2 linked regions of the Alligator mississippiensis genome follow. Each later gene encodes a partner of the first gene's protein in a complex. Links are inferred from orthologs where the notes say so. Each region holds a gene or a part of one and is shown in the gene's direction. Other genes may lie near its edges.

Region 1 (10,410 bases):
CAGGGAGAGCATAATTTGTTAGTAAATATCTTTTTACTGGAACTTTTTTAAAACCTTAAAGCAGTCTGAACAGGATATACTCAACCTAGACAGTCCAAATTAGTGCTGTACTGTGTTTCCCCTAAATTTTCCTGTTTATAAGTTTTTCTTTGACAGACTTATCTGCTCTAGATCCTTTGACCATAAAAGAGCTGTCAGTTCCTTTCATATCATTTAGAGTTCAACTAAGCCACCTATTAGTAGGATTCCGCAAAAAATACATTGTTTCTTTAACAGGGCTCGTGGATTTTTATGCAGTTACTTGGTTAAAATTGAGGACCCATTATTCTCTACTGATGGTGTAGCAGTGGAAACACTACTAAGCATAGAGAAAGCTCAGACCCTTTTTATTCTGGGTTGTCTAAACCTATTCTGCATCTTTATCACTGTAGCAATTCCTGACACTCCTTACTACTTGAATCATTTTTAACAACAGAGCTGCACTCATTATAAGTTACACATCCCTATTTTCCTATTACAGATGTGTTCATTCTTTTTCTTCTCATATTTTAAATACACTTGTGAATGTGAAGTCAGGCTCCAGCTGAATTAAACTGGTAAAAAAAACCCAACTTTAAAATGTCATTCAGTTCAGAACACATTCCTTCCTGCATTATACCTGTCCTATAACGAAACATAAGAATCCCATAAGACCACTCAATAACCATCAGCAGTAGTTAGCACCAAATATAGCAATGGATTTTAATTGCTATGCTGTACTATACACCCGAGGTCCTCCTTAACAGACCTATTTCCATTACAGAACTTGCATCCTGTTGATGTCTAATCTTACTTGCTGTGTCAGATTAACAAAATTAATTGGTTACTGGTGTATTACATGCCAGGTTTCAACATTACCGTCTTTACACAAAAATGTTTTCAATTACTCTGTTATGAATTAGAGCATGGCTTTCTTCCTTAGTAGCCCAATTACTGGAAAAACTGTCATTTACGAAAGTCATGGGGGCAATGTTACTAAGATGGACAAAAGATCATTTGCATATTTAAAATGACCTAGTTAATATACAGCACTTGTATTAGTTAATGCATTAGTGTTTTACATTAAGCACATGAGGTTGGAAATCTAGCTTACCTCAGTTGGACCATACTTTGCCATTATAAAACAATCATTGAAAATTACTGGAAGCTTGCATGAAAATTAGTTGCAGGATATGACCCAATGGAAAATAAACGTGTGTAGCACTTTCATCCCCTTACCTCAAGCATTTTACAAATGTGGGATAAGTCTTTGTTTGTGGGATAAGTTTGTAGACAAAGAAATTGCCAGGTCAAATGACTCATCCAAGGTTGTGTATGTTAGTCAACTGCAGACCAGGCAATAGAGCCCAACTCTTGTGCCTATCAAACCAGTGTCCTATCTACAGGACCACAGTGTAAAACAAGTCAGATGATTTCAGTTTAGTTAATATTTCAGGCTTGATAGGAGGCTTCCACTGCAATTGCTTATTGTGCTTTATCCAGCAATGCAAATCCCTCACTTTTATGGACATGAAACCTTTCCACATACTTATAAAAATCTATGCATGTTGCCGCAGGTAGATTAAAGCACATTACGTACCCAGACAGAGCCGCTACTGCTCCAAAATGACAAGAATGCCCTTCCATTACAGCAGCATCACACTGGATTAATCCATCTTTGTTTGGGTAGCCTCCTCGTCCTACTACATAACTCCCTGTCTCCTCATCATTTTCAATAGCTGGAGATAAGTAAAGTTTAAAAATAGTTAAGCGTTAGACCCAAGTTTCCATTTTTTAAAAATCCGAGTGCTTCCCAAAATCCCATTAAGAAATTGAACAGTACAGAAGGGTCAAAACGAACACTATTTATGGGGGACTGACATACGCATATGAAAGAGTGACCTACATCCCCCAGGCTGTACCCCATGTCTACAGATAGGCACCCCACATCCTGTTACAATGGGGAAGCGGGCACCCCCACCCCATTATGCAGTGCCGTGCCTCACCGACAACTCCCTGTGGACTTTTTGGAGGCACTTTGTCACAACAGGGCTCTGGGCTGCTAGCTCCCCTGACACCACAGGTTGTGGGGGAAGGTTAAGCTGGACTGTATCATGTCCTTTGTCCCCCCTGGGGGTAGGTCAGGCAGTGGAAACTGGGGGAGGGGAAGCCCCAAGATCCCATCTGATATAACAGGGGCAGCAACGACCTAGTGGAAGTCTGGGGTAGCACCATACCTAGACTCATTGTGGCCCCGGGCAAACTCTTCATCAGCGATAACAACAACAACAACAGGAAAACGGGGAAAAATTACCATTTTGGGCCCCATATCTGTCCAAGCCCCGGGCAGCTGCCCAGTTCACCCATGCCTGTGTCTGGCCCTGGTCTGCGGGCTGCTTGTGAACCCTTCCCAAACCATGTGCAGCCCATGGACTGCCAGCTGGACAGCCCTGCCATAAACAAAGGAATTGTGCTCAAGTGCCTTTGGCTACATTGAAGTAAAAGACATTTGTTCTAACATTAGGTAGCACCAGCGATACAGGAATTATCCAAAAAGCCGAACAGCATTTCTGTAGCCTCATTTCAGTTGATGGGAAATTTGGATACACAAGCAAAGCAGTTGAAAAGCAAAGCAGTTCTGGGCCAAAAAGACAGGAAACTCGATAAGAGCTCTGTCTGTCTGTTTCTTTAAAGAAATAAACACCTGTTTACTCAGAAGGGGACAGAAACTGGCAAGGGAAGGGGACTGATGGGGGCTCCAGTCAGCCTGGAAAAGTAACAACTGCCCCAAAACAGTACAGGGTACTTGACCATGTATTTTTTTAACTCCATGAGGGCAGACACTTGAAGTCCTGCCACTTTTATACACAATGTGCCTTAAGTTTGTGTTGATGGATGCAAGGTCACGAGACAAACAAACTATGCTGGGATGCACGCAGAGCAGGGGCTCTCACCCTTCCCAGACTCAGGGCAACATTCAGAAAATGCCAGCTCTTCATTTTCACTCATGTTTCCACAGCCGCTGAGCTGAAGCCTTTGGAGAGCCCCCAGCAGGACACAACAGATTTAAAACCGCTGGCTTGAAAACTCAGGGTTTCTCTTAGGAATCAGGGGCAGATCCAAAGGGGGGGTGGGGGGGGGTGTATTAGTGCATCTGTGCCCCCCACTTTTGACCCCTGCTCCACTCCAAGCTTAAAACCATGCACTTAGCAGCAGCATTTCTAGCCAGGTAAAGCTGAGGGAGCCACTTGACTTCCCGGAGCCGCTCCCCTCCAAGCGCTTCACTCTCGGGTCGTTAACGTCTGTCCGCGCCCGTGGAGCGCTCCCACGTCCCGCCCGTGCGGCGCGCCCGGCCCCTCCCGCTGCGCCTGCGCCTCCTTCCTTCCCAGGAGCGGGCGGCGTCCAGTGGGGCTTTCCTCCGACCCCGCGCGGCCCATCCCCACAAGTCCAGCTCCCATTGCTTTTTAAAGGGGAAAAAACCAAACAACAACCAGGTGTTAACCCCTCAGCGCTGCTGCACGGGGTCTCCCCTCACCTGCCATGGCTTCCTGCACGCAGTCCGTGGCGTCCGCGCCTCGCAACAGCAACTCCCGCATCTTGCGCAGGGCGGGCAGTGAGAAGGCCCAAGTGCCCGCGGCCGCCGCCATGGCAACGCCTCGTGGAGTGGGGGGAGGGGGCGAACATGCCGACCGGCAAAAAAAAAAAAAAAAGGTGGGAGAGAGGGGGAAAACCGACGGGCAGAGCGCTGATTGGCTGGCGGCGGCCTGTCAGTCACGGCGCGCCAAGGGCGGAGCTAGAAGCGGTGGCTTCCGGTGTGTGCGAGGCCGGCGGTTGAGTGGGGCGATTGGCCGGGCGCGGACATGGACACGCTGGGCAGGAAGGTGGTGGTCTGTGACAACGGCACCGGGGTGAGTGGCGGGGCCCGGCCCGGCTCGGCTCTCGTGGTAGCGCGGCCTGCTTCCTGCCGGGGCTCCGGCTCCCGTCCCCGCCCAGGGCTACCCCACCCCCGCCGCTGTATCGCGGCGCCTTGAGGCCCCAGCCCCGCTGCCCCACCCCCGCTCCGTGGTTACCCCGCCGTGGCGGCACTGCTTCCCCCCCCCCGGGCTGTAACGCAAGGCGGGGCTCCTCGGGGCCGGGCAGGCGGGAGTGGGGCGGGGCGCACGGGCGTGGAGGGCGGTGTTCCTTCCCCGCCACTTCCGCGCCCGCCTGCGGCCGGCGGCGGGGACAAAGAGGGGGCGAGGGTCGGGCCTGCGAGCGGGGTCGTTGGGTGGTGGGAAAGGATCCGGCCGTTTTGGGATCCTGCGGCCTGATGGGTCCACAGAAGATGACTGTACTCAATTAAATGTACGTGAATACCCACACTTACAATTCGGAGGGGTCCACACATCCATTCTAAATTGTTATGGGGTCCGCAAATGAACAAAAGGTTGAAAACCACTGGTTTAGCACCTCTGCAGTTATTGGATGATGGTATTGTAGCCTTGCTAGGTCCCTTCTCCTTCTTGGGAACATTTAGAGAACTAAAGAAACTGACATTACCAAGGGAGGAAGAACTTTTGCATCAGGCAATTGGGGAAGTAATTTTTATTCAGACTTTCTTTTTTTTTTTTTTTAAAGTACTCCTTCCCCTTAAATATATAATGCTGAAAGCTAAGGAGCACATGAGACACAGTGCATCTTTGCTGCTGTTTCAACACTGCTATTTTAAGACTTGACAACTCTCAATAAATAGCCAAGTTCCCTAAGAAAGTGCTTAAGGAAAAGAAATAATTTTCTATTTAATAGTGATAGGGCATGGAATCTTTAGGTCATCTTTATTTATTATAAAGAAAAAAGTAGTTTGCTGTTTTAGAATAATTATTACTAATATTTTTTCTGAGCTATGTAAGGCAGTGATGCTCAGTCTTTTGGTCCAATGGATCAAATGAGTGGTGTAGGGCTTGGTCATGGTCCCCTGCACCAGGATTGGGCCCTACAGTACCTCTGCCCAGCCCACACACCTGGATTGGGTCATATACAGACTTGCATGGCCCCTGTGTCATCCCTGCCTGACCACATACATTAGGATTGGGCCCCACGCTGCTGTATATGCCTAAATCAGCATGCAGGGCTCCTCATGGAAAATTTGGCCACTACTTTGTTGCCACCAAATTTTTGGACCCACAGGGGGTCCTGCAGGCTGGCTAACATGGCACCAGGGTTTAAATGTGGCCCATAGGCCAGGGATTGAATGCTCCTGAAGCAAGCAACAGCACCATTATTAGAATTTTAAAATTGCCTAATGAACCCAAGGATTTGACCATATAAACAAGAACTATTTTCAAATTATAGTACAGGTTTCCCTCACCAACCACGGTTTGATTATCCATGCTTTAGAGAAGCTGGGGGATGCAGTTGGAAAATACCCCCCATGCCCCTGGCCCTGCTTGTGACTCTCACTCCCCCCCCAACCCTACACCCCCCCCCTCCCCCCCCCCGGCCAGCCTTGCTGGTGCTCCTCACCCCCCACCCACAGCCCCTGTTCCCCCAGCCCTGCCAGTTTTGCCAACCACAGAAACTTTCAGGAACCTAACCCCCATGGTTGGAGAGGGAAACCTGTATAGCTATAGATCATACTTTAAATTATAGTATTTTCAACTTAAGTTTTATATATACTTATTGCAGACCTTTTGTTCATCTAATGTTAAATGCAGCCTCAGTCAGATTGCAATCTTTTTTTTGTTTTTGTTTTACAAAGAGCATCATAAGTGTATTCTCATGACACGTGATATAGGAAGAACTTTGAGAAATTCCATAGAAGCATTTTAAAATCTAGAACATTTAAGCTGCATGTTCTGTGCTTTTCTAGGGCAAATGGCAAATTACTGTAGGCTTGGAATTTTGTCCTAATTATATTTAGAATTCTTTTGTCTGAGTTGCATAACAGTATTTTACCAGGGAGACATAAGATTGTTCAGTATGAAACTTGTCATTAAAACAGGTTTGTGAGCAGATGTAGATGGTGTTCTTATTTTTGTTTAAAAGGAATATCTTTAGCCTGCATGTTCTTACCACTTGATGACTCAGTAGGAAGTGAGAGAAGTCATTTCAACCACAATGCTATGAAGAGGAAACTATATATGGTAAAATAATCTCTTACACACGGTATCTTGCACAGATCAAGCAAACTAAGAAGCTGTTCTTAATACGCTCTCTTGGATTATAAGGTGCAACCTTTACAACTTGCAAAGATGTGGGGGGGATTTCAGTGTCAAGTTCTTCACTATGTAAAGACGGATGCAGTCACGTATTTAAATGTTAAGAATCTGTTGCACCATGCTGAATTCAGATGACTGGTACCTCAAGGAGTACATACATGATGATGTGGTGCATCAGGATTTGTGCCATTGTTAAGGTTTTATGAGAGAGTTCCAGTTTCACAAGAGTGGTGAATACTGGGTATTTAAGCATTAGTAAAATCAAAATTGATTATAATTCTTGATCAGGTTACCTTAAGGGGGGGAGGGGTGTGCCCTCTATTATATAACGTGATGCTCTTGGAGAGATAATAATCTTTGGGGAAACTAAGTGCCTGCCATCTTTTCTTGGGCATATTTGACTTTTTTTCCTCCTCCTTTGTAGTCTTTTTATCAAGAAATCTAAAATGCCCTGGGATCTGTCCTTTTGTCACGTTCTTGCTGTTTGCATTTTGTGCATCAGTTATTGGTTGCTGGTGTGACACAACTTCTCAGCTGGAAATCGCAAACATGTACCAGTCTGAACCACTTGAATCTTACTTGATGATACAAAGTGATAATGGAATTTATATTATTTCGTTTCAAGGGCAGCTGAAAAATGAGGCTGACTTTGGTCATTTATCCCATTCACTAAAGTTCCCTGCCCACTATGAACCTGGGGACAGGGAGCTTCCTAATCTGGGTAAGAGGAGACCAGAAGTTAAAGCATTCTCTCTTCTGTATACCCTTCTAGTTCCTGTGGCACCTGGTAAAAAATTATCAGTGGTAACTGTGGTAAAAATTATCAATGCTGTCAGCCAACACTAACTTAAAAAAAGAGGTGGAAGTAATCAGTTTCTGAACATTCTCATCTTCCCATTTTCTCAAAACGTTAACAGAACACTTAAGATCACTTCCCAGAACAGTGCCTAAAATGGTATATCTCAGTCCTACCATTACACCATCCTGTCTTTCAGAATATCTAAATCATTTTGATGTTCTCTTCTCTCTAACCACTGTATGCCACAGATCCAGGGAGTGAATCCAGAGGTCTCTGATTGCCTTTCTTTTGCTTACTCGACAGTAGCCATTCAGTTTGCTGGGAAGAGGCATGTCAGGTTGTTCTGTAGTGGCTGATATAGGAAAAAGCCAGCAGATATTGTAAAGGTTGTTCACACTGAAGTTTGAAAAGTGCAAACTAATATACAAGTTATTCTGGTGTATGTGGTTCATATTTAACTGTTGGCCTGTCGCTTCGGATTCAGCCGATTCAGGGGACAGTGATTTGAATCACTGCCCAAATCACCTGAATCAAATTGGCATCTGAATCAAACAGCTGCTGCCGCCGCTCCCCCCCCCCCTCCCCGGCTCTCCCAGCCCTGTCAATGGCTGCCCTGCCTGGCCCCAGCCTCCCAGCTCTTCAAAAAAAAAAAAAAAAAAGCCCAGGGCACTCACCAGCTGTTGCCAGGCAGGGGGTTGATCCCTGCTGCTCCCCACTGCCCGATGATGGGTGGGGGGCTCTGTCATGAGCCCCCATCCCCTACCCACTCTCCCAGCCCCAGCATCCTAGCTCATCCTGGCTCTTAAAAAGCCCCCACTCGCTGGCTGCTGCCAGGCAGGGGGGCAATCCCTGCTGCCCCGTACTGTGTGGGAGGCTCTGCCATGAGCCCCAGTCCCCTCCCATGGCTGCCATGCCCACCCCAGTGTCAGGTCATTAAAAAACAAACAAACAGGGGGGTGGTCCCCAATGCCCCACGCTGCGTGGGGGCTCTGCCACAAACCCCCAGAAGCCCCAATGGCCACTGCAATAGCTGATAAGTGCAGGACATTTTCTTTAAAGAACCAGGAGCTGGGGCCAGGTGGGGCAGCCTTGGGGGAGGTCAAAGGGGGGCTGGGGGAGCAGGCAGGGGATGGGTCCCCATGCCACCTCTCTCCGCTTATCGTCTAGCTCCCTGTGGCAGTGAGCGGGGACTGCCTAAATCTCCAAAGCTCTCTGAATCTTTTCTGAATCGATTCAGACCTTTTTTTTGGTCTCCTGATTCAATTAGGAGATTCAGCTGATGAATCAGGCCAAGTCTCCGAATCAAATTGGCACCTGAAGCTTCTCATGGCCATAAAAACTGTTACATTTTTCTGTTTATGTATTGGTATAAATGGAGCTGAACAACTGCAACTTAAAATTTGTTTTCTCTCTAGCTCAAATGAAGGAGGCTTAAAGTTATAGTGGTTTATCTTCGCTTATGCTGATATAAGAATGGACAGATATAAGTTAAATCAGAACAGCTGATGAACAGTCCAAAGTGTCAGTTAATCTCTCCCGTTTCAAGTGGTATTTGTCTACAGCCCTTTGAAATGTCATTAGATTCAAACGCTGGTTACTGCTGCATGTGATGGCCTAACTCCTCAACCAGTGCGCCAGAAAAGGGTATTTACCTTCTCAGTCCTCAAGGCATGTGAAACGCTGGCAGCTCAGATTGAGAGAGTCGCACTTAACACAAGCTGTAAAAACCATTCTGCTTTTTAAAGCATCCTGCGATAATGCATCTCAAGTTTCAGGTGTGCAGGTTATATTGTGAGGGAAGGAAAAAAGCAATAGACGCATCTGTGGATATAATGCTGCTGTTTTTGGTTTTGGCTGTATGCATCCAATTTCACAGATGTCCATGAGAAGCTATGAAATGTGTTGGGCAGTGAATGATACCTGCTCCTTCACGGAATTTCTCTCCAGCTGACTTAATTGCATTAAACCAGGAGAGTGGTACTTTTTAAACAGGGATAAAATATTTTATATGTTTACTTTTCTGGGGCATGCCAGCTGTATAAAAAGCTATGAACCCAGTGAACAAAGCTAGTGACAGTTCAGATTGGTGCAGGACCTTTAGAAGCATAGAGATAAGGGGAAAACATCATTTAAAAAAAATTAAGTTTTATGCTGCCCACGACATCATTGACACTAGACTCAGATGCTCCCTAAGGCTTTTTGCTTCATCTGTAACGGTAATGTTACCCCATTTTCATCAAGCCTACGCTGTTGCAAAACCTGGTATGTTGAGGCAGAATAATATTCTGTAACTTCACAAGTGCATAGGAAATGCGACAGTCCTGCTAATCTGTTGCTGTCTGTTGGATTGCAAGTTTTTTGGAGGGACTGTCTCTTTGGGGCATCCATAGGATCTTGGTCTATGATCAGGGGTCCTAAGCAATATAGTAATATTGTTTAACCAAAAGCAATATTGTGAGATTGCTGAGGTTTTGTGTATGGTACGAGTTTGGAGTAATAGACTTGTAAGGAGCTATTCCTCATTAATCAGTGCGCCCTGAGAGCACTTCAGGCTTTCTTAAATACCCTTTCTTAAGTGTAAAAACACACAAACAGATAGGTTTTGTGACTCTATCCAGTTCAGACCTAAAATAACTAGCGCCCCTTCCTTGCTGTCAGCAGGCACCACTTTCTTTTAGATGTAGATCAAATTTGAATAATTTCTAGATATTTGTGGTCTCAACACAAGCAGAAGGGATCACAAGAACTTGTCTTTCTAATTTATTTTATATTCCTGGAAAGCCTTCTCCTACTTGGAAATTAGTTTTGCCTTTTGCAGAGGAGACAAAAATATTAAGTAAAGCTCTTTCGTTCCTCAAACGTCAAAATGGGTCTATTGTTGGAGCTGACAAAATAAAAAAAAATAAGTGAAGCAAAAGAAAAGCGAGAGCAATCACAGGCAAAAAAAATACTTCCCCCTCTTGCTTTCCCATGGCAGGCCGTGGAATGAAAATTAGACTTGTTCACTAAAATGTTAGTGTTTACTTTGCCTAATAACCAACTCTGTGTGGACTTTGCTTGATGGGAGCTCTCCTGTGGACAGAGGCATGGGTATATCTTCAGTTTTTTAGTTGTAGTCCAGGGAATTTTAATTAAACTACCAGTTGGCTCTTTCCCATGACAAGTTTCATATCCTTTTTCTAAACAGAAATGCAGTAATGCATATACTACCATTTTTGATAGAGAGGTAGATTCCTCATTGTATTTTTAGAAAATCTCAGTTGATGTGAACTCCAGAGAAGCATGAATTAGTACACATGTGGAGCTATGGTAGTTATGGCCATCATCTTTATAGTCCAGTTCACAAATTGGGTAGAGAGAAACTTTGAGGGGGGAGGGAATGACAGGAGTGACATA
Region 2 (9,322 bases), on another chromosome or scaffold:
TAATGTGTGCAAATTCTTCTTTACAGTTTTATGACTTATGTGAATTATTCAGAACTGGAGGTCAGGTTCCTGACACAAACTATATATTTATGGTATGTAAAAATTGTTGATCACGCAAAAGGTAATCATTTTTTAAAAATATACTGATCTAAAGGGGATTTCAGCTCTCTTTTGGTTTTCATTTTCATTTACAATTCTTGCTTGTAAACATCTTAGGCATGTGAAAAAGCTTTCCACTCTGTTCACCCTCTTTTCTGGTAACATGTAGCATTTGCTTTGTCCAGCAGAATTTGAAATATTCAGTGCTGGCTCTCCCAAAAGGAAATAAATTACAGCATTTGCTAAATAAAACCTGTAGTTCATGATACCAACAAAAAGGACATCCTGAATGTGTCTTAGAACATGTGCAACCTTATATGACCCGAAATATAGGAGCATAGGGGGAATATTTGTTTTCAGCTGTGAAATTTTGAATAATCTAAATCTTAGCTGGGAATTAAAGTAGTCTTCAGAGTTGATAAAACAGAGATGAAGACTGACATTCCGAGTCAGACTTTTTGGCAAATTGAGGCATTAGAAATAGATGCGTTACTATGTGACAAGTTGACTTGCTTTCTACTTATAAATTCGTACTTTCAATTTACAGGGTGACTTCGTAGACAGAGGTTACTATAGTCTCGAGACTTTCACCTACCTTCTTGCACTAAAAGCTAAATGGCCTGATCGTATCACGCTTTTACGGGGCAATCATGAAAGCAGGCAGATAACACAAGTGTACGGATTTTATGGTAAGACTGGTTAACAAGGCAGATCTTCCTTAGGGACATCTGATTTTTTTTTTTCCTGCTAGTGTATATAGCTTTCCTGTTGGCAGAGTGGGTTGTGGAAATGGGGTCCAGTCCCTGATCTTCCATAAAATTTTAAGCAGGTCTTCAGCTTTATTCCAATTTCACGGATACGTTGTATGTTAATCACTTGAGAATGCCGAGGCGTAATATTTGAAGTACTCTGGTATCTTGTAAAGTCCTATTAGAAAGCAAAATTAATATTGAGATTCTCATTAGACCTGGTTTTATTCTGTGTTGTCATAGTAACAAAAATGATTTACCTGGTAAGCTGTGAGTAGGGCAGTAAATGGACATTAAGGGATAGATGTTTCACCACTATTAAGCAACAGAGCCGCCACTTAAATATTGAGGGAGTAGATGCGCCTAGAAGTGACATCTCAGTTGCTGAAGTGACGGAGCCTGCAGCAGAGCCTTCAGGCACTAATAGCTGTTTCGGACAATGTGTAGTCCATAACGGGATGCATGTGACAGCAAGGACAAATGGGTCTGAATTTTGACATAGTGGCCTAAGATGGCAAAGGAATCCTTGCTTGCTAGGTACAGGTTGCCTAGAGCTGTTTTAAACCTAGTTCATTACAGCTCTACTGCAGGCTGTGTCTCCTCTCAATTTGGGCAGGAAAAGGATATTATGTAATTCAGCTGCCTGTGCAGATGGGCACACTGTGATCTTGTGGCAGTTAAAGGCAGTAGCAGAGGCTGTTCAGAAAGGGTTGTCTCAGCTTCTTACAGTGACTCTGTACCATAAATGTGGAAATAAAAGTTTCCCTTAAACAAAACACCCTCTCCAGTCTGTGCTCTGATGTGGCTCCTCTGGCAGATTTTGGAACTGGCTGTGGAGTTGAGGAATCAAAGCTGCTGTAGCTTGCTTCTTTTGGTCTGTATAGGCCAGATGCTTTTGATCAGTCCAGTATCTGACTTGTTTTCACTGAATAGCAATTGAGGCAGTCCAGTTAAGGCTTTTTTCAAAGTGAGCTTGAGTGGGTTGTGGGAAAGGGAGAAAACACTTTCAGTTATGTTGGCGCAGGGTCCAAGTCTCTGTATTGCCTGAGCATACAAGACACGATAAAACAGAGGCATAGAAGAAGCTGCAGATGGCTATGGGAAACATGCCTTCTCACTGTGGTCCAGTCAGTGTTCCTGCGTGATGGAGTGACCTATATTTAACTGTTTGAAATGTCAAGTTCTAGTTGAAATTTTCAACGGTTTTTTTTTCCACATTCAGGCAGTAAAACAGGTTCTCTCTTTAACAGATGAGTGCCAAACCAAATATGGAAATGCTAATGCTTGGAGATACTGTACCAAAGTGTTCGACATGCTCACAGTAGCAGCTGTAAGTTTTATGCTCATTTTGAGAAATATTAAGCATGGCTTGTTTCTTTAGACATCTCTCTCAAGCAATTGAGAGTAGTCTTTCACTGTTCCCTTGCAGTGTGCTGTGTCAGATTGAAGGGAGAAGTAAGGCTGTGCCATACCTGACACCGTGTCCTTTTTCCTTCAGTTAATAGATGAGCAGATTCTCTGTGTACATGGTGGCCTATCTCCCGACATCAAGACACTGGATCAGATTCGAACCATTGAACGTAATCAAGAAATTCCTCACAAAGGAGCCTTCTGTGACCTGGTCTGGTCTGACCCAGAGGATGTTGACACCTGGGCAATTAGTCCCCGAGGAGCAGGCTGGCTGTTTGGTGCAAAGGTCACAAATGAGGTAAAAGCATCGTGAAGTAGAATGTAGAAGTGCTGACACCTGGTTAGCTAAAATGTTTACCCTCAAGCGTGTGCAGGTAGAGTTGTATGATTTCCCCGTGTACAGTGCAGCTGTCTCAGACAGAACAGTAATTCACTTAAAGTTTTGTACACCATTGCAGTTTACTATTGGACAGTATTAAGTACTAGACGTACCTCACTAAGAGCCTTTCCAGCTTTTAAAACCAGTGGTATTCCCACTGCCAAGTACGCAAAGTGGTGTTTTCCTTCTCAAAATGAGCTGTCTTAGCTTCTGCTTCTGTTACTGTTGGTTATGATTGTTTACCCTTTGTTAACTAGTTCCTTAACCAGTCTCTCAGTGGCATGAAAAAGGATACCTATCTCATTATCTCAGAGGAGTCTGAGGCACAACTAAGGAGTCTTTAATGAATTTTATCTACAGTAAAACTAGCAGTGATTCCTGCTGACAATTATGTGCAGGTTTGCAAAGCGAACCTCTTCATTAAGTGGGATACTTGTTTGCCCTTAAGATACGTTGCTCTAAGTGGCAGAGCTGCCGTATAAAGAGCATCTCTGACTCTTGCATACGTTTACACGCCTTTTCTTTCTTTCTGTTACAGTTTGTTCATATCAACAACTTAAAACTCATCTGCAGAGCGCATCAGCTAGTGCATGAAGGCTATAAATTCATGTTTGATGAGAAATTGGTAACAGTATGGTCTGCGCCGAATTACTGCTACCGCTGCGGAAATATTGCATCAATCATGGTCTTTAAAGATGTAAATACAAGAGAACCAAAGCTATTCCGTGCAGTTCCAGACTCAGAACGTGTAATTCCTCCTAGAACAACTACACCGTATTTCCTTTGAGATCTTTTCCCGTCCTGCTGTTTCCCCCCATTCCCTTGTACTATCCCTCTACAATATACTTTTTATTGAGCACTTTGCTGCTGAAATGCTGCCTCTTGCCTTTTTTTATTTTTAAATTATCTAAATTTATTGTGTATGATGGAGTCTGTAGCGAATATACCTTGATTTCCCCACCCTGGATCAAATTGAGAATGCTTGTGAAATGTCCTCACCATTTACACTGCTGCATATAGTTCTTGTATATTTCTGGTTGTAGGTGAAATGTTTTCCCTCTTTAAAAAAAAAAATAAAAAAAAGTCATAAATGCATTGGGACTATTTGGATAGCCCACTATGTCATTCAACGTTTTGTTTGGTAAGTTTTAAGAAATTTCAGCAGCAAAGTTACCTGGTGTGCACGATGGGACTGTAAATGCGTTGTGTACACATCTCCAAGGCGTAAAACTGAATTTGTCCTTGTTATATCTTGTTTTAAGTGGATATGAAATAAAGTGGTCTAAAGGGCTGTTCCCTCTTGTTTTTTTAGGATTCCAATTAAAATAGAAAGAACGTGCTACAGCTATTGAATTTGTACATTAAAATAATTGTTCTGATTTTTTCAGATACCTTGTATTTTTAATAAAGTCATATCTTAAATGAAATCCACCTCCTAGGTTAAATATTGCAAATAAAAATCCTGCATTGTTGATGTGAACGTCCGTCCTTTTCCGTCTCGAGAGCCGCGTACCCCGTTGGTTGGTTCGCTCGCGGGGAAGCGATCCAGCCACCGCGGCTCTGCTCCGAAACGCGACCGTGCCAAGAGCGGCAGCTGCGTCTTTCTAGGCGTGCGGGTCCCGCGACGTCCCGTTGCCGTTCTCGTGAGCAACCGCAGCTCCTGGCGCGCGAGGCTGGGTCCTGGTCTGGCCCAGGCGGCCTCGTCCACGCACGAAAGACACGACCGAGCTGGTGGCTGGCAGTCGGGGGGCCGTTTTACACGCTAACCGCAGTGTTGCATAGACGTGGCGGCGGGTGACGCGTGTACCGTTACGTGTCGGAGAACCAAAGGGCCCGTGGTGACGTGACACGCCACGCCACGCCACGCCACGCGCTTGGGACCCTGGTTGCAAGCCTGGGGGGGGGGGAGTAGCTTCAGTCCCGGGTAGAAACCTCCATGCCCTTCGCTCCTGTGACAAGTGACGTCGGGGGGCGGTTCTGGGGCCAGCCCTCTGCTCGGGTCGTGACCCGCCCACCCGGAAGTGCCGCCTCGCCTCGCTTCCGGCCCGCCTCTCGCCCTCCCCTTCTGACGGAGCTTCCTGTTCCGGCCGTCCCGGAAGCGGCGCGGCGCGGCGAGGCGAGGCGAGGCGCGGTGCGGCGCGGAGCGGGCCGGGCCGGGTGGGCCGCGCCGCCCCTAGGCCGCCGGCCCGGCATGGCCCGGAACACGCTGTCCTCGCGCTTTCGCCGCCTCGACATCGACGAGTACGACGAGAACAAGTTCGTGGAGGAGCCGGACGAGGCGGCGGCGGCGGCCGAGCCCGACCCCGGCCCCGAGGTGGAGGCGCTGCTGCGGCAATATCCTTCCTTCCGGCGGGCGAGCGGGTTGGGGGCCGGGCCCTCTCCTCTCCTCTCCTCTCCTCCAGTGCCGGGCGAGCAGGCGCCCGGCCGCATCCTCCCAAGGGAAAGGGGCGACCGGGGACCCGGCCTCGAAACGCAGATTCGTTTCTGGTCAACCTAAAACCCCCGCCCCCTCGCTGGGCAGGGCCGCCGCCTCTCGCTGCGCCCAGGCCCGGGCAGGCGGGGACCGGGGGGAAAAGCGCAGGGGTGTAGGTGTAGTTTGCACTGTACGGTTGGAGGGGGGGGGATCCCGCGACGTCCGAAACGGGCTGAGAAGCCGCGGGGGGCCCGGGTCTGTGTCGCGACGCGGACGGGGCTGTTCGTCGCTGCTGGATCTCGCGGCCCGTTACGAACCGCTGCCCCGCTCGTCTCCTGCCTGCGGCCGGTGATCTTGCGAGGTCGCCTCCAGCCCCCGACGCCTGCGAACCGAGGCGGCGCCCGACCCTCGGTTTTTATAGCGGCTGGAAAGGCGCTTGGTTCGTGATTTAGGCACAGCTGCCGGCCGCCCCGGTAAACCACCCAGAATTAATTCGGTCACAAACGGGGGTTGCGAGCGGCGGCGGACGGGGAGCCTCGTATAGGACGAGCCCGTTCCGTCGCCTCGCCCCGTTTCTGAAACCGCCTCCCAAGTAGGACGGCGTGTGTGGAAATATGCCACTTGTGCCAAACTGATGTCAAGGTGCTTAAAATAACTCTGCTGCCGCCGTCTGCGCTGGGACCTAACCCAGATCGCTCAGCAGATGAAAGCGAAGCGGCTCCTCCGCTGCGCGCTCTGGAACGAAGCCTCGTGTCCGCGCGGGGGGGAGAGAGCAGGATCCTAACGACCGGGGAGGGCCGGCGGGAGAGAGAGCGCCTGTAGCCTTCTGCCTCTCGGGTTCATTTTGGGGTTTGCAGATCTCCTTTTTTAAGCACAGATTGATTGGGTGGGAGGGGGGCGTGGAGGAGTGTTTGGTGGCTCAAGAGGCTGATAATTTCCACCCGCAAAAAAGCACATCTAGCTTAGAGATGCTATTTATGTGCCTCGCTGACGTCACCGCTTGGCCTCTTCACTGCAGCTGTGAAAAGGGACTAGTGTGCTGTGGGATTGCCCGAAGGGCTGGATCAAGACCCACCAAGCAGCCCTCGGATGTGGGTTACTCTTAGTGTCTGCTGGATTCAAATCAGCGATAGCAAGGTGAAAAGCACTGGATCTTATTGTCAGTGTTTGGAGCCATCGAGTTCTTAAATAAGATCCCTTCAGTGTAAAATGCTTGGAGTTACTTCAGATGCTCTGATTAGCAGCGAAACGTGTAACATGACTTGATCCTTTTTCCTGATCAGAATTCAGCGGACGCTGTCACTCCGGCCTTATTCCTTGCTAAGTCAGTTCATTCAAGAAGTAATCCTGGCTGAGAGAGTGTCTGGAGGAACACGTCCCTGACTATTACAGGGCAGGCTTGGTTGGTTTGTTTTCTGTGCATGGTTTTGGGTTTGATAGATTGGCAATAGCTTGGTATTCAGGGATGGGCTATAAATAGTTTAATCATCACCCTTCTGTGGCCTTGTATTTTAAGCAGAGGGGAAAGAAAAATAGCTAATCCTTCGAGGCTTCCTGTTAGAGTTGTCAGCAATGCAGACTGCTTCTGGCCATCCTCTGTTCTCGTTATTTGGCATTCTTGGAAGTGAGCAAATCAATTTAAAAAATCCATGTTCCTACCTCCTCCTCCTCCAAGTATGCTGCTGTGTCGCAGTTCCACAGCCTAGTTTATGGGTACTTGAGACCAAGGACTTTCTGCTGTCAGGGCTGTCTGTACATTTTGTAGTGAGTGACAAGGTTTCTGTTTCTGTAACAGTGAAGCCTTGTCAGCTTAACTGACAAAGGATGTTCTGTCAACCTGAACTGCTTTAAAAATTACAAATGAAGAGGAAGTTGACCTTGAAGCAAAATGAATGCTTGCTTGTAATTCATGGTCTGCTGAAGGGCTCTCGCAGTCTTACTTTTGCTACGTGGTTTTGTGGCTTAGACTCATAGAAAAATAGGGCTGGAAGGGACCTCAGGAAGTGTCCGGTCTAACGTCCTGTTCAAAGCACAGTCATCTCTGCCTAAACCATCCCAGCCAAGTATCTGTCTAACCTGCACTTAAAACGTCCAGAGATGGAGATCCCACCCCTGCTCCAGGTAGCCTGTTCCAGAGCGTCACCACGCGCAGTGAGAGACTGCCAGTGTCCAACCTACACTTCCCTTGCTGCAGTTGAGACCAGTGCTCCTTGGCCTGTCCCCTGGAGAAGTCTGTTTGTGGTGGTGATTCCTTTAGAACCTGATTAGCTTTGTAATGGTGTGTGTAACTGCCCAGTAAGCGTAGCAGCTGTCTTGTCCACCTGGCACGTCCTACTACAGTTTGTAGCACAAGAAAATTGCACATTTTCATTTGCAGAGATCGGGATATCAAGTGTTCCTTCCCGTGGGGGATAGTGACAGAAATGCATGCTGTCGTCTTCAGCTCTATTCCTGCAATAGAATACTTTATTCTGTTATATATCTTTGCTTTAGGAGATGTATTTAATCACATCTCCTATGAGGTAGGCCACATTTCTTGTGCTGTGTGTTATCTGAATACTTGGAGGTAACTTTTTTGTTTTTTTAGTTTCTCCAGCTGCCCAGTGGCACACCTGCCACAGCAGAGGGTTGTTAATTCTCAGTGTCTGTCCAAGGTACTTCCATCTCTCCTGGAGATAAGGAGTTGAACTGCCTGACACATCCAAACATATATTATACATCTATTCTATTATGTACCTACTATTTCCCCTTCAGGGCATTTGGATATCTGTCTTTACTGTGGATTTCAAGTTTATATGTCCATGTGTCAGGGTGGAAATAACATCTGAGCTAAAGATCTGTAGTGAAGTCTGAGGTTTTAGTTGTAGATTTTTAATTTTTTTTTATGAACAAATTCCTTTAAGCTCATAAATGGAACTATCACCTTGACAATGATCTTTCCTTCTGGATATGTTATGCTCATGCTTAACTCTGGACATATCTTTTAACATTTGTTTTTCTTCTGACCTTGAAAGCCTAAATCCACTTTGCAAATTCTAGCTGTAGGAGGTGTGGCCCTGATGCTGGATGTGTGTCTTACTCACAGAAAGAATTGGGAAATCTTTCTGGATTGTGTGTTCAGGTTACAAGGTCCCTGAAGAACTAACTCCCTTTGGCTGTTTTAGGATTTTGGTGTCTGTAGAATATTAATTCTGCTCCTCATTAAGTAATGCAATGTTTGCAACGAGTCAGGGTAGCCCAAAGGTCAGGGTGACATTCATCCATTATGGTTAAATCCTGAACGATTGGAAAAAGTAAAGGAGGGTCTGCTGACCTTGACTTGAGTTTCCCGGTGGCTGTCACTTCCTTTCCTCATGATGCACTTGCTGGCATTTTCCTGTTGCACCATCTTTGGAAATCAGCTCTGCTCTGTTATTCCAGAATATGCTATGAAGACATTTGGAGTACTCAGAAGCCTATATTCCTGGTTGTAACTACATTAAAATGAGGGTTAGGATTGTCTTAGCAAAGGGAATGGTTGCTGCAGTTTGTCCTTTCTTCCTGTTTAGCTGCTCTTAGGAGATGGTGATGTGTTGCAAAATCCAGTGCCACGCGTTCTGGACTGTCCCTTCTAGAGTCATTAATAATTAAAGAATAACTAAACGACTTGCATCCTTGACTTGCTGTGCTGCACAGGCGATATGCTCCGAGCTTTCCACATGGCCTTAAGGAATTCTTCGGTTAACACGAAGAATCAAGCAGTAAAGGTAAATGAGGCCTTTGGGCTTTTCCATCCTCTTTCAGTGTTGGCATATGGGTCCCTAGCGATTCGGCAGTGGATTGCTGGGATACTTCAGAACAGTGGCTGCTTTCTCAAAATACGAGTAGCTGGTCATCAGTACCGTAGTGTGGAACTGTTTGTGAACTAATGAACATATGCTATGATTCCCAATTAGTAACACTTCTCATGCCGTATCTGCACCTTTCCTGTGCAACCTTAAAGACAAAAATAATTTTGAGAAGCTTTCCAAGACAATTAGGGCTTCTCTGACAATGTGCACGCAGCGGTATGATGGCAGGTTCATACACAGTCAGAGTCTGTGTGCCACAGTACATTTGATGTCCCACTGGCTCCAGTTCCATGGGTAGGAGGGGGGTAAGAACCAACATGCAGAGACAAACGGCAGGTGAGTCAAAGGGCAGCAGTCCCATGACATGCCAAACTCCTGACACTCAAAAGAGGTAAGGGCTGGCGGGATGTGCCTGAAACCACATCTGTGTGGATTTTGTAAT

The links.
Region 2: the proteins of ACTR2 (region 1) and ARPC5L are in contact, whole or in part, in a cryo-EM structure (PDB 6YW6), measured with the Homo sapiens proteins. The link is inferred for Alligator mississippiensis from reciprocal best matches to the Homo sapiens genes ACTR2 and ARPC5L. Residues at the interface, in NP_005713.1 of Homo sapiens: Tyr225, Glu263, Phe266, Gln267, Arg319, Lys322, Gln323, Ser338; in NP_112240.1 of Homo sapiens: Arg11, Arg12, Val13, Asp14, Ile15, Asp16, Glu20.

Annotation. Positions count from the first base shown.
Region 1 is NC_081824.1:214,971,024-214,981,433, forward strand, and holds the start of ACTR2 (actin-related protein 2), read left to right. Parts: upstream 1-6,044; 5' UTR 6,045-6,059; coding exon 6,060-6,140; intron 6,141-10,410. Other genes in the region: N(4)-(Beta-N-acetylglucosaminyl)-L-asparaginase, read right to left, coding at 1,619-1,757, 3,554-3,665. UniProt on the Homo sapiens protein: ATP-binding component of the Arp2/3 complex, a multiprotein complex that mediates actin polymerization upon stimulation by nucleation-promoting factor (NPF).
Region 2 is NC_081835.1:66,433,602-66,442,923, reverse strand, and holds the start of ARPC5L (actin-related protein 2/3 complex subunit 5-like protein), read left to right. Parts: upstream 1-4,744; 5' UTR 4,745-4,828; coding exon 4,829-4,972; intron 4,973-8,724; coding exon 8,725-8,796; intron 8,797-9,322. Other genes in the region: PPP6C (serine/threonine-protein phosphatase 6 catalytic subunit), read left to right, coding at 27-92, 647-788, 2,099-2,178, 2,347-2,556, 3,176-3,424. UniProt on the Homo sapiens protein: May function as component of the Arp2/3 complex which is involved in regulation of actin polymerization and together with an activating nucleation-promoting factor (NPF) mediates the formation of branched actin networks.